Arabidopsis thaliana: one gene and its partner. The protein of the gene in region 2 interacts with the protein of the main gene of each other region in a pairwise test. Each region holds a gene or a part of one and is shown on either strand. Other genes may lie near its edges. The genes, in order: AT3G14190 and HBT.

Region 1 (4,771 bases), on a different chromosome or scaffold from region 2:
AACAACTACAAGATCTGTTTAATGAGATGTTTCAAGGAGACGCTGCAGCATTCCCATCATCATCGTCCTGCTCCACTTCAAATTTCACTTCATCTCGTAGTTTTGTATTCGATACAAATTCTCAGCGGTCATCTTCGTTTGCGACAAGTTCGATGGGGATGAATAATGATCCTTTCGGATATGACCCGAGAGCTCATTCCTTCTCTTTAGGGGTAAGGAACTGAAACCACTTCAAACTCTTCCTTTTCAGAGTCACTTTATAATACTCTTCTTGATGAATGATGAATTGGTGTTGGTGGATCAGCAGGTGGACCATCAGCAAGAGTTCAAGAAAGGGAAAAACAATGGCGGAAGAAGAAACAGGAGAAAGAACAATGTTCCATCGGCTGGTCACGAAACGTCGTCGTCAAACAACTATGGAGTCCCCACCTCATAGCCACTTCACACCATATTTTTTTGCTAACTCATCTCCCCACATTTGTCGACTAGTCGCAGACAAGATGAGTGGTTGTTGTCTTCTCAATGAGGAATACATCGAAACTCAAAGGGTCGTCGTTTTGTAAAACTACCCACCTCCTTCTCTAGAATCTTCTTATTTTTATTTTTGTTTCTCCTGTGCTGTCATTGAATTGTTGTCTCCTAAAAGCAAGAATCGTTAAAGATCATTGAGATCGATGAAATCAATTGCTTTATGTTGATCAAACACAGTTCCTTCTATATTCTTATTAGTTATTGATTGTCTCAGCATTTGATTACATAAAAATTTACATTATTTTTTGTTCCATTTTGGTCGAACCTTTCTTATCTTACCAACCATTAGAGAGTGAGAAATAATTGCTTCTGAGACTTGAATCAAAATCTGAACAACGAGTGGTGATCCAAAACGATGGCATTTCAGGAAAAGAGTTGCTTCTGAGACTGAATTAGAATCTGAACTTGAACTTTCTGCTTACTCAGTTGACGACAGTAAACTACCATTATTGCTGCCACCGCGGGTAAAAGTGGATGAGATGGAGCTTGGAGAGGTGGCAATGGCAATAGTTGGATTTGCAGCAAGTTATGAAAAGGTGGTATAAAGCTTAAACAAGTGGTGGAGCTGGAGAAGGAGAAGAAGGAGCTTGAGTTGCAGAAAATGCAGTCCTTTAAAGCTCAATTAGAGGTGTTACGGAACAGTCGCGAGGATAGAGACAGTGAGAGAAGAGTCAGAAGTCACCAATAGTGTCAAGGATAACGGCAATGTAAGTTCACAGTTGAAGAGATGAATGTTTGTAAAAGTGAATTCTGATGATGTTTAGGATTGTGGCTTGAAACATGACAGTGTAAATCGAAACTTCAGATTCTGAATATGGCACAAATTTGATGAATAGTCAAAATACTTGAAAAGATACCAACTTTATTTCCTGAAACCAGTTACAAAGTGATAGACACAGAGTGATTCATGAAGAGCTGAACAAAAGATAAACGCCACTACTACTATTACTACTTCATCTGAAGGATGAATTTTGAAGACATTAAGAAACAGAAACTCAGAAGAGGTCGTCAGAGTCTTCTTTAAGTGTGAATTCGCATGAATCGAACCGCCAAGCCAGAGGAGTGGAAGGCATCATAGAGCCATGACGGATTGGAGAGCGCCATGGAGTCGAGTTCTTCAGCCAATCAGAAAACTTGGGCGATGCCATCTCTTCTGGTTCTTCGTAAGTCAGATCGTCCTTAGCATCCATCTGAAACCAAAAACACATAGGATAGAGTCATAAAAAGTGTCACTTTAAGTTCCAAAACTAGATTAAAGATGCAGTCTCACCAAAATCTCCATCAAAGACAGAGAGATAGACATTGTTTTTTAAGTACAGTACCTTTTCAATGTCCCAATTGAGATGCTTCTCCTTGATGCTGGAACCTGCAAGTACAAAAGATCAAGTTTAGCACAAGCTTACTCGCAAAGATTGGTTAAACATCATAGCTTAGAAGATCTAAATACAATACCATGATGAAGTAGCATGAGATCAGCAGAGTAGTGATCATCCCAAAGATTTTGCTGTTCTTTGATGCATTTGCTGTGATCATGTAAAAACCTTTCCCCAGCTATATCAATCTCTTTCACAGCAGCAGAAGCAATTTGCTTGTTCTTTGAAGAAGCAGCAGCTTTCGCATGAATCCCAGACTTGTTTGTAATATCATTCAGAGCCTTACGAGCTCCTCCAGGTTTCTTCTGACCAAGTACAGTCCCTTTGGATTTCACAGAAGCAGCAGTGACAGACTCTGTAAATAATAGCCAAGAAAGAAAATGTTAAATCTTTGTTTCAAAGCAATATGATTTAAAGAGAGTAGAGAAAGATTAACTACTTTTGCGATGAATTGGAGCGTTCTCGTCTGGGAAGATCATTTGTTGAAGAGCGTTCATGTTCGCCATATGGTTTTAACTGTGAATCATCAAAGAACCAATTGCAGAAACGAAGATTTGATTCCAGAACTGACGATTTTAAGCAATTAGAAACCCTAAAAAAGGTAACAGAAACCCAACTCGAAATCGAAACAAAGATCGTTTTTTTCACAAAACCCAATTCGATCCTCAAGCAAATTTAACACCACAGACCCCAGAAACCCAGAACGAATCAAGTAGCGACATACGAAAAGAAGAACAAACAATCGCAAGAAGAACAGTCTATAATGTGAACCTAAATCAGAAGGAAGAAAGAGATTACCTTTGTAAAAGTGAAGAAGTTTCTTGGTGAGATTCTTGTTGGAAGAGAAGTGTATAAGAAGATGAAGAAGAGCGCTTAGAGTGTTTAACGGTAACTTTTCAATGTTGTTCTGACGAAATAATGAAGAACCTCCGGGATTAGGCCAAAAAAAGTAAATTTATAGAAGAAGAGAAAAAGTTTCTAGCCGTTGGCAGAATATTTTAATGCAGGCCTAATCAAGAATTGGCCCAGGTACAGGCCCATCACATAAATCAAATTGACGGCATCAAACTATCATGTAAGATAGAAGCAAAACATGTCACACTTCTCTAAGTTATCTTCTTATCGGCTAGATTTATCATCATCCTTGATTAAATCTCCTTAATTTTGGAAGGTTAAATTATAGGTAAAGTGTATATAATTAGTCTAACCAAGGATATTCAACGCTTCTCGTTCCTGTTCCTTATATAAAACCATTATCCTCACATAAAGAAGACTTAACAAAAAAAAAACTCTTTTCAAAACACATTAGAGACAATTAACAAGAAAAACCCTTCTAATAATTTGATCAGAGATATGGGTTTTTCGCACAAGTTGTGGGATGAAACTTTGGCCGGTCCAACGCCGGAAAATGGTCTCGGGAAGTTGAGAAACCACATATCCGGTGAAAGTGCCAACCGGAAGTTGATGGTGGATCTGAAACGTGTCCCGAATTCTCCTGACCGTTCAAGCAACCCCGTTTCCCCTTTGACTCTTATGTTACCTTTTTTAAAAATCCTTTCTGATCCACTTTTTTTTTATCTTCTATGCTTGTGTTATGAGCAGTTAAAACCCTATATATTCATGTAAATTAAAGACTTTGCAAGGTGATACATATGTTCATAGTCATTATAAGCTTTTTTTTATTATTTTTTTTTTTTATTTTGACATCCATAATCATTATTAGCTTGAGAGTATTATGGATTTGTAAATTAATGATTACCAAAATCATTTGTATGCAGCTGGAACACCAAGTGAAACACATGCTACAAGTCTCAATGCTTGCGATTGGTTTGATCTCCCTCTCTTTTCTTTCCTCTCAAACTATACTTCATTTTATCCAACGCATTATCGCTTTCATTAGTACCACCATATCTAATTAACGTCCGGTAATACTGCAGGATTGTGCTAAACGCATTGGACCGTTGAAAAATATTACAAGGTATTTCTACGAGAAGAAGAAGTATCCCAAACTACTTTTCTTTGTATATATATATTTGCTGTGTACATAACATAATGGTCGCTTTTGGTGTTTTGAGATTTGAGAAATATTAAATTTCTGTTTGTTTCACAATTCACGAAGATTATATAAGGTCTTTTTGAAACATAGTATTTCTGGAATGTTTAAAGTTGTATCTTTGACAATGGTGAAAAGAAAAAATGATACTAAGTGATAACATGCTAACGTAGCGTATGGAAAGCCCAATAAAAACCCATGCCCAAAGTAAATAACATCCACGTCACCGTTCTTATTGTTAAAAGAGAGACTAATTCGAATCGATTTAACGAATGAAGCAAGACAACGAAGGAAGACAACTGGAAACTATCGACGGACTAAAAAAAGTCTACGACCGATATTGAAACTGACGGTTAGGCTAAGGGTAATTTCGGTACATCACCGGAAAAATGGTTCACGGGGATAGTTCCGGTAATTATAGTAAAACTAGATGGGCTTTTCCGTCAATACACTTCCTCATCGGATTACGAAGAAATGGGGAAATTACGATACAAACCCATCTTTTACCCCTAAACCGAGCCGGCAACTTTACCGGTGACGGAATCTTACCTCTGACCTACCAATCACGTCATTCCACGTCATCTCCCCGTATCTTCTCACGTCCTTCCACGTGTCCCCTCTACTCACCGACGCCGTCTCCTTCCCGTTTACCCCTCCCGAACAGAATATTAACCCAAACCCTAACCCTATCTCCCTCTTTCACGAGCTTCTGACTCAGATCCGGCGATATCGAATTCCATGGAGGACGATGAAGACATCCGATCTCAGGGTTCCGATTCACCTGATCCGTCTTCCTCCCCGCCGGCGGGACGAA
Region 2 (7,812 bases):
AATCATAGGATTTGTCGTAAATGTTTACTGGTAGTCGTCGCCGTTACTTTTCAAACGATATAAACTGAGGCAAATAACCACAAAAGTCAGAATCAGTGACGTTCGTTAATCCCACCGAAAGTCGAGTTATGATTGTTCGGAAGAAAAAAAAATCATATAATTATAGAATTATACGTATCAAAAGTCTCGCAAGTTACGTTTTTCTTCTTCTTCATTTTTGAGTGCAAATCTCGTAAATTACGTAAAATTTCTATAATCATCATGAGATTATAATTCACGTGAATTATATATTCAACATCCGTGATTTGTTCTCAGCTTCATTTTGGGAGAATAATTGTTGACTTTTTTTTTTTTTTTTTAAATTGTTAAATTTTTACTTTTATGGTAAAAATATTCGCTGATTACTTTACTATACTGTGTCTGTGTGTCCCTGCTTCATTTAATAAAAACAAAATATATTACTTAGGGAATTCTTCAATTTGAAAACAAAGATGAATCATAAAAAGACTTTTTTGTGTACAAGTTAATTTAAACCATGTACAGTATGTGGTCGAAGCCGTATCTTTTGATTATATCTCAGTCGATCAATATTGTTAGATATTTCTTGGAAAATAAAGATATAAGTTTGAATCAAGGTTTAAAAACTAACGAAATAAATTATCTTTTGATGAACAAGGTTTAAGTGGTAAAATGTATATGTAGATGTGGAAAAATCATATATTGCGATTAGGTAGTGTTACGGACAACATACAGATCAACTCATGATACATACTCAAGTCATGTGGGCTCTTGTGGCTGTGTTACGGTTTGGTAACAAAACTACATTCAAACCCAACTAGTTCCCTAAAAGAGGTAGGCTTTGCACTAAATAATTCATACCCATGGTTCGTGGAGCAGCAACGGTCTCACATTAATTCATACCCAAGGTTCTTGGAGTAGCTATGGTTTCACGGGCTCTCATCGATCTCATCTGGAACATGCAATTTCTCCATTGCAGCCTGTTTCAGACAATAATAACCAGTTTAAGCTATGAATCCTTGAATTTTCAGATTTAAAAACCATCATTGGACGACTCTGTTTTAAAGACTCGAACCTTTATTGCAGCAACGTCAGTTGCAGGCGGTTTCATATCTAAAGCTAGACCGAAATGAAGCATGGCTTTATCGTGCATGTTTCGCCGCTTATAGATCCTGCCCATTAAAGCGTAAACGCTGCTCTCTGAAGGCGCATACTCTTTGAGCTCCTCAAGAACTTCTAGAGCTTCATCTAATCTTTCTAAGCAGACAAGTATGTTAGCTTTCTGGTACATTGGAAGAGGGTTTTTTCTATCTGCTACTATGGCTTGCTCCATTATCTCTAGTGCTTCCTCACTTCTCTATTAACACAAAACAAGAAGAAGCATTTAGTCATTCTTCAAAGATTGTTTTTCTTGTAGACCTGATAAGATGAAAGTAATAAGATAACCTTCAAGGCATGCAAAGATGTCCCTAAATAAGACATTATAACAGAGGAACTCGGGTTTATTAGGAAAGCCATTCTGAAGTGATGCTCTGAGAACTCTAACTTCTCTTGGCGTAGATATATCATTCCAAGCCCGTACCATGCGTTGTAGTGTCTTGTATCTACACGAAGTGCGTTTTGGTAACTTTTCATTCCGTTCTCAAAATCCTCAAGAGTTGTGTATCTACAGAGACAGTAAAGATAGAAAGTGTCAATTAGACCAATAACCAGATAATTTTAAGCACATTGTGCAAGACAAAGTCAAATGGATAGAGGCTCTCTTACTCGTGGCCACATAAGGTATGTGCATATGCAAATCTTGGATTCAGTTGAACAGCTCGTAGGAAATTCTTCAGTGCGGTCTCATGGTCCTTTTGCAAGCTATAGCAATTTCCCATAGCACACCTACATAATTGATTGCTTATTTCTCTTATTACCAACAATAAATGAAAACGTTAATCAGAAAAACAACTTCGACAAAAAATACCAAGATTGAGGAGCTAAGCGATCGGTTGATATTAGTTCCTGAGCCAAGTAACTCAGCTTCATGTCTTCCTTCAAATGCTGCAAATAAATATCATATCTTGCTGATGAAAAATTTACATAAATGTGATTTCTTTCCGCACTCATCCGAGATTGCATGTTTAGAAACCAGGATAATACACTTACATAGAGGACCGTAGAGTATATATCCATTCCTTCTAAGCAATAAGGAGAAGCCAGACGGGCAAGACGGAATGCCTTTTCAGCCTCTAAATAGTCAATTAGTTCAAAGTATGCTTTCCCGACCTACATTTAATAGCCATAGTATGTGTATATAAACCTTTCAACAATAACTATCACAGGCCACTAGAGTAAAACTGATTCAGGCTATATCCATATATGGCAGCCTAAAAGAGAAAGAGTCACTAGTTACCTGGGAAAGAACCCATCCTGTATTATAATGCTTATGTGGAAGTTTCATATACGTATCCAGTGCCTCCTGAACGACCCAGAAGCAGAAGGAGACAATGAGATAAGCCTATATAGGTTCACCTCACTTGCATAATTCACGAGAACAATAATATGCCTACCTGACACCTGTACATGTATGAAAGTCTACACCCTTCTCCGAGTGTCCTAAGGAGGTTTAAAATTTCCGAAACACCAATTGTGATTGTTTGAGAACTCATTGCTATGCCACCAATCGACATTGTTTCGTCTTCTTGATCATTGGAAGCCATAGAACCAGTCGTTGAGGCAGTATTAGGCCTTGAATCATCAAAAGGTTCCCCACGGACCCCTAAACCCATCAGAATGACGGTATTACAAATATGCAGACACCAAAAATAGAAGGCATGATAACAATAGTCACACAAGGGCAGATTTCAAACAATATAGTGGTATAGTGCATGGAATGTCACAACCTTCATCCATGTTTTCATTTGCCCAGGAGTGTCCCTTCCGAAGTGTTACAGAACGAAGTGCCAAAGAACTCAATTTAGAACCTCCCAAATACTTGGAAGCGTTGTTCACATTTCCGCTTACTGTTGCAACACTTGAATTAATGTTTGCCCCTGAATCAGCAGACAGTCTTGAACTCCGTCGTGGACCAGAATCAGAAAATAGTCTGCCAGAAATCTGCAAACATAAGAGACATGCACTCACGGTAAGAAAGTTGGTATAGAAAATTTCATCCCGAGTACGAAATAGACTATTACAGAGAAAGACCAATAATTCAAAATTATGATTTGATGATGTCAAGTAGAGATATGTGATTATGTGAATCCTACCTTACGTAACTTTCCTTCATCTACAAACTTTCTTCTAGGTGCTTGAAGAGTAGAGTTAACAGTGGACTTTGGAGAACTGTCAGTAATAAGGGAGTTTGGGTTTGCAACAGCTGGCTGAAAATTCCGGAAAAGTGGTGGTGGAGCTATACCGGATAGCTACAATTTCAAAAATACAAAAAAGCATTTACTTACAGCTGTTATTATTCAGATAACTAAAAAGGTTGATAAAATTAACAAGCCAAACCAAAGACACTAAAACATAATGAAGACCCCATTTTTAATAGTCAAAAGAATAGACAACCCATTCTTTTGGCATAACAGATATAGAAAAAACAGATACAAACGCTGTGAAATCAACACCCATGATGCACAAATCTCCTAAGTACTACAGAATGTGTGATCAACAGATGGAGATATAGTTGTATTACATAAAAAAGCAGTACGACAATTGTGTGACATTACCTGTGCAGCCACTGGCGAAGGCGTATTATAGAATGACATGTTCGAAACACCTCCATTAACTCCATGAGAATGGAAATTTCCGGAGATATCTTTAAGGCCATGGCTTTGTGTGTGTTTAGACTGCCTTGGACTATAATCTTCAGAACTCGTGTTTTTAGTAGAAGTTGAATTACGTTCCTCGTTGTAAGTGTTTAAGCCGAGGGAAGTTGACAGTTGTTGCATATACTGCTTTTGAATGGAGAGAGCAGCTGTTTCACCAAAAACTGCAGTTGCTTCCTCAGCAGCACCTGAAAGTTGAGCAGACAGAAAAGTGTAAGAGAACCATAACATATCTGTGAAGTATGCAGAAAACGGATTATGTTCACCTAATATACATAATTCCTCATATGCAGCCCAAAGTAGAGGGTCTATTGTCAAGGACTGTTTAAATTGTTGAGCAGCATTCTTCCTTCTATCAGTATACCTAAAAGGTCACTGTTATATATGAGGAATCATCTCATCTAAGCCATTCAGAATCAAGAAAAAATGCATAGACAGAACAAAAAACGTACTTGTAAATAAGTCCAAGAAGGTAATGGCCTGCTGCACCATTTGGGATCTGCACAATAATCAGAAGCATGTTGTTATCTTCACTGAACTAAATCAATAAATAAGGTCCAGAAACTGACACACTGTTTTTGTAAAATGACATTCAGTAAGCGAATAAAGGCAAAATACCAGAGAACATTAAATACCTCCGCACCAGGTTCATTAACAGGGCAGAGTGCAGATTCAGCTTCATTGAGAAGGTCCATCTGGAAGCATGATAATGCGAACAAGTATCGGGACTGAGCCATTTGTGTTCCTTTACATAACAAAAAAAAAATATATATACAAAGATAATCAAAACGACCTAACAAAAGAAGGTGCAAAATTCTGACTAAAAGGCTAACAAGCAACAAGTCAAGAAACAATGCCACGCACCCTTTAGCAGATGATATGCACTGTAAGCTTGATTATTCTGCAGGTAGCTGGTGGCTAATAGCTGCAAATTAACCTATATAAGAGGAAAATTCAGAAAGTGATCAAACAAAAAGGCCAATCATTTATTGACATGATTTCTACTAACTGAAGCTAGAAACTGGACAACCACTACGAATGTTGAAAATATTCCAGACCAAAGGCTGAATGAATGAATACTTTCTCAACTACTATTGAAGCTGTATTAACCCAAATTTTAACAAAGCTTGAGATAATCCCAGAGACATTCCTCTAACAGTTGACTCATAGCTAAGTTCCAAGGATAATAAATACTTAAACTTGAGATCACATATATGGACAAAAGTCATTAACCCTCAAAATGCAAATTTTCCAAAGACCAAATCAGTAATGAGCATTGAGCACAGCTACTAGAGAAAACAAATTCAACAAGAGAGAGAAAAGAACACGAATTCATCTCCTAATTGAACACACGGATCTTGAAAACAAAGGGCTAAAAGGTAAGAAACCAAAATCAATCTCGAAGAACACAGTGAAGCTATCGAATTCCAAATCCAAAAAGAGACGCACTTTCGACGAATTCATAGATACCCAGAGGAATTACAAACCCAAAAATATCAAATTTACCATTCCAAGAGCTTCGATTTACAGAATTTGAATTAGAGAGGTAAAATCAGAGAGAGAGAGTGAAAGAAGAGGGTGATTACCTCAGAAGGAAACTCAGCGCAGAGACGCTCGCACATGAAAATAGCATTTTTGTAGACAAAATGACGAAGACTGTTGTTTACACAGTCCACAAGCATAGCTTCCATAGTTGTTGCCTTTCTTCCTCGAGAGAGAGAGAAGAGAGAGAAAAGAGGGTTTTCTGTTTTTTCTGCAACTTTTTATTTTTTTCTTACCATTTGGGATTTTTTTGAAGTCGTCGTGATTTCAAATTTTGATGCGGCACGTGCGATGCTCTGTTTTCAGTCTATTCCGCACGTGACAGACCCATTAGCCTTAAGTGTTAAAATTTGTATGGGCTGAGTCCGTGTGTTTTCATTTTTGGGCTTAGTTAGCTTATTGGGCTTTATAATTGACCATTTGAATATTAGTATAGATGAAGACAACGATGATGGTGTGATTACAACCGTTGGAAACAGGAAAACAGAGCCGATTCATCGTCATTCATAAAGCAAACACCTCTTCAAGATCATCTCGCGGTCGCGGATACTCCATGTCGTCCACCACATGTAACATTGCCATGAAATCGCTGACGATGTGAGTCATGTGACGTATGGAGAAGAACTCGAGGAAATCAAAGAAGTCGAAGAAGGGTATCATAATAATGAATCGAACTATCGAAGATATTGCGCTACTTGAACAAGTGTTTTTGTTTGGTTGAATAAGCAACAAACTATTATTTTAGCAAAATACTAGAACGTGTCTGCAGGAAAAGTTTCATATCTACGATAATCATTTTCTGATACTCATTTCAAACGTTGTTAAACGGATCATGAATCATGACTTCAAGTTAGAATACTTCAAGTTTCAACCATATCATCATATATCTGATGTTATCCATCACATAAACATTATGAGTTTTTAAAGGACCATTTCATGAACCATCGTTGCAATCTTGAATTATCAATCAGAAATCTGATAAATTTGAAAAAGAAAGATGAAAAACAAAGGTATTAAATATACAAATTTATAACAGTTGACAACATATAACAAAGCCCACAAGCTTTTGATTAGTACAAAAGAAGAATATTTCACTAAAACGTTTCTACTTTCTTGTACAAGTAATTTAATTTGCCAAATACCAATCGCTAGCCGCTTTAACCAAAATATATTCCACACTTCAAACTAAACCGGGTTTTGTACCAATGTAGTAAGTAGGTCACTCTCAGGTTAGCTTCCTCGGCAAGTTATAGGTCTTTTTCAGAAACTTAGTCGCAGGTTCATCGTAACGGTAACACAATACTCTTAAAAGTGTGTTTGGTTCTGTCGGACTCCACGGACCAGAAGTCGGCGGTAACGGAAGCTTCCCTCTGTCAGAACCATGATTCTCCAGACACACTGCTTTAAACCGTTCAATCAAAGAATCTGTATCCGTGCGCAGCAGCGGAAGTATACTCTTGACAGTCGTCGAAACCTTCTCGATCAAATCCAAAGGCAATCCGTCTCCGTTTGACCAGAAAAGATCGCATAGAAACTTGAAATCCTCTTCTACGGCAGCAGAGTCTTGAATTGTGAAGCCACGCGATGGTCCACCTGCAAGGAGGACCAATAAGAACCCGTCGAAAGAAGCTCTCATGATGTCCGAAATGACTCTGGTTCGGACTCTGTCATGAACCGATGAGGAGATAATCTCAAGGCACCGTTCGAGCTCTTGAAGAAACGGCTCAATCCTTGAGGAAGGAACTTCCCCGAGGTACAGACCATCCCAGAGAACATTGCTCAGATCGTGGAAGACGATCTTGTAAGCAGTTGCTTCAGACAATTGCTGTATTCCTTTCGAGCAATAACTAATCGACTGTTCAAATATTTTACCTTTAGCATCCAAAGCTGCAACTTCGGATTCCGGGAGACGATTCAATGTTTTTCTCCCAGATGATTCGATCTCTGTCCTGATATACTGCAGAGTGTTGATCCTGCAACAGAACTGAAGTATTTCCGCCGAGTCATTACCCGTCCCCAGCTGTGATTTTCTCCTGTGAGAAGCTACCATTGGCTTCTCCTTTTTCTTGAATACACCATGTAGTCTGGACCCGACCGTGCATCTTGTTAAAGCAGGCAAAACGGGTAGAAACGTATTCCGCGAGCCTAATAGAAACCATATAAAAACAAAACCAGAAACTCCATAAGTGAAATGAACAAAGCGTGAGCTTTTTTATTCCAAAAACTAAACAATCAACTGCTTACCGCAGGATGATTTCGCCTTTGATACATAATGCTGCATACACTTGTCTAGTCCTGACGTTAGCTCAGGAAGTAAAACTGGATGCAAAAGAATCGGCAACAAGAAAAACGCTTCCAATGTCTCATCTACCATCCTCAGTACATCCACAGCAGAAGGAGCGATACCGAGTTTATTCGATCTCGGATTCCATACCTA

What was found.
Region 1: the proteins of HBT (region 2) and AT3G14190 interact in a two-hybrid assay, tested with the Arabidopsis thaliana proteins (one study listed by BioGRID).

The regions. Positions count from the first base shown.
Region 1 is NC_003074.8:4,708,546-4,713,316, reverse strand, and holds AT3G14190 (uncharacterized protein), read right to left. Parts: upstream 2,835-4,771; 5' UTR 2,703-2,834; exon of another isoform or gene 2,421-2,702; 5' UTR 2,411-2,420; coding exon 2,344-2,410; intron 2,260-2,343; coding exon 1,984-2,259; intron 1,898-1,983; coding exon 1,854-1,897; intron 1,722-1,853; coding exon 1,527-1,721; 3' UTR 748-1,526; downstream 1-747. Other genes in the region: AT3G14200 (Chaperone DnaJ-domain superfamily protein), read left to right, coding at 1-212, 308-436; ASIL2 (sequence-specific DNA binding transcription factor), read left to right, coding at 4,696-4,771. UniProt on the Arabidopsis thaliana protein: Required for the maintenance of centromeric cohesion during interkinesis, until meiosis II. Required for regular configuration and segregation of sister chromatids in meiosis II. Also required for centromere cohesion during meiosis I.
Region 2 is NC_003071.7:8,631,377-8,639,188, forward strand, and holds HBT (CDC27 family protein), read right to left. Parts: upstream 5,925-7,812; 5' UTR 5,525-5,924; coding exon 5,420-5,524; intron 4,771-5,419; coding exon 4,698-4,770; intron 4,579-4,697; coding exon 4,469-4,578; intron 4,333-4,468; coding exon 4,286-4,332; intron 4,198-4,285; coding exon 4,100-4,197; intron 4,022-4,099; coding exon 3,735-4,021; intron 3,429-3,734; coding exon 3,273-3,428; intron 3,121-3,272; coding exon 2,907-3,120; intron 2,783-2,906; coding exon 2,574-2,782; intron 2,483-2,573; coding exon 2,417-2,482; intron 2,290-2,416; coding exon 2,170-2,289; intron 2,065-2,169; coding exon 1,988-2,064; intron 1,906-1,987; coding exon 1,786-1,905; intron 1,685-1,785; coding exon 1,465-1,684; coding exon of another isoform or gene 1,414-1,464; exon of another isoform or gene 1,376-1,413; coding exon 1,094-1,375; intron 999-1,093; coding exon 948-998; 3' UTR 583-947; downstream 1-582. Other genes in the region: AT2G20010 (Gls protein (DUF810)), read right to left, coding at 6,601-7,520, 7,620-7,809. UniProt on the Arabidopsis thaliana protein: Component of the anaphase promoting complex/cyclosome (APC/C), a cell cycle-regulated E3 ubiquitin-protein ligase complex that controls progression through mitosis and the G1 phase of the cell cycle.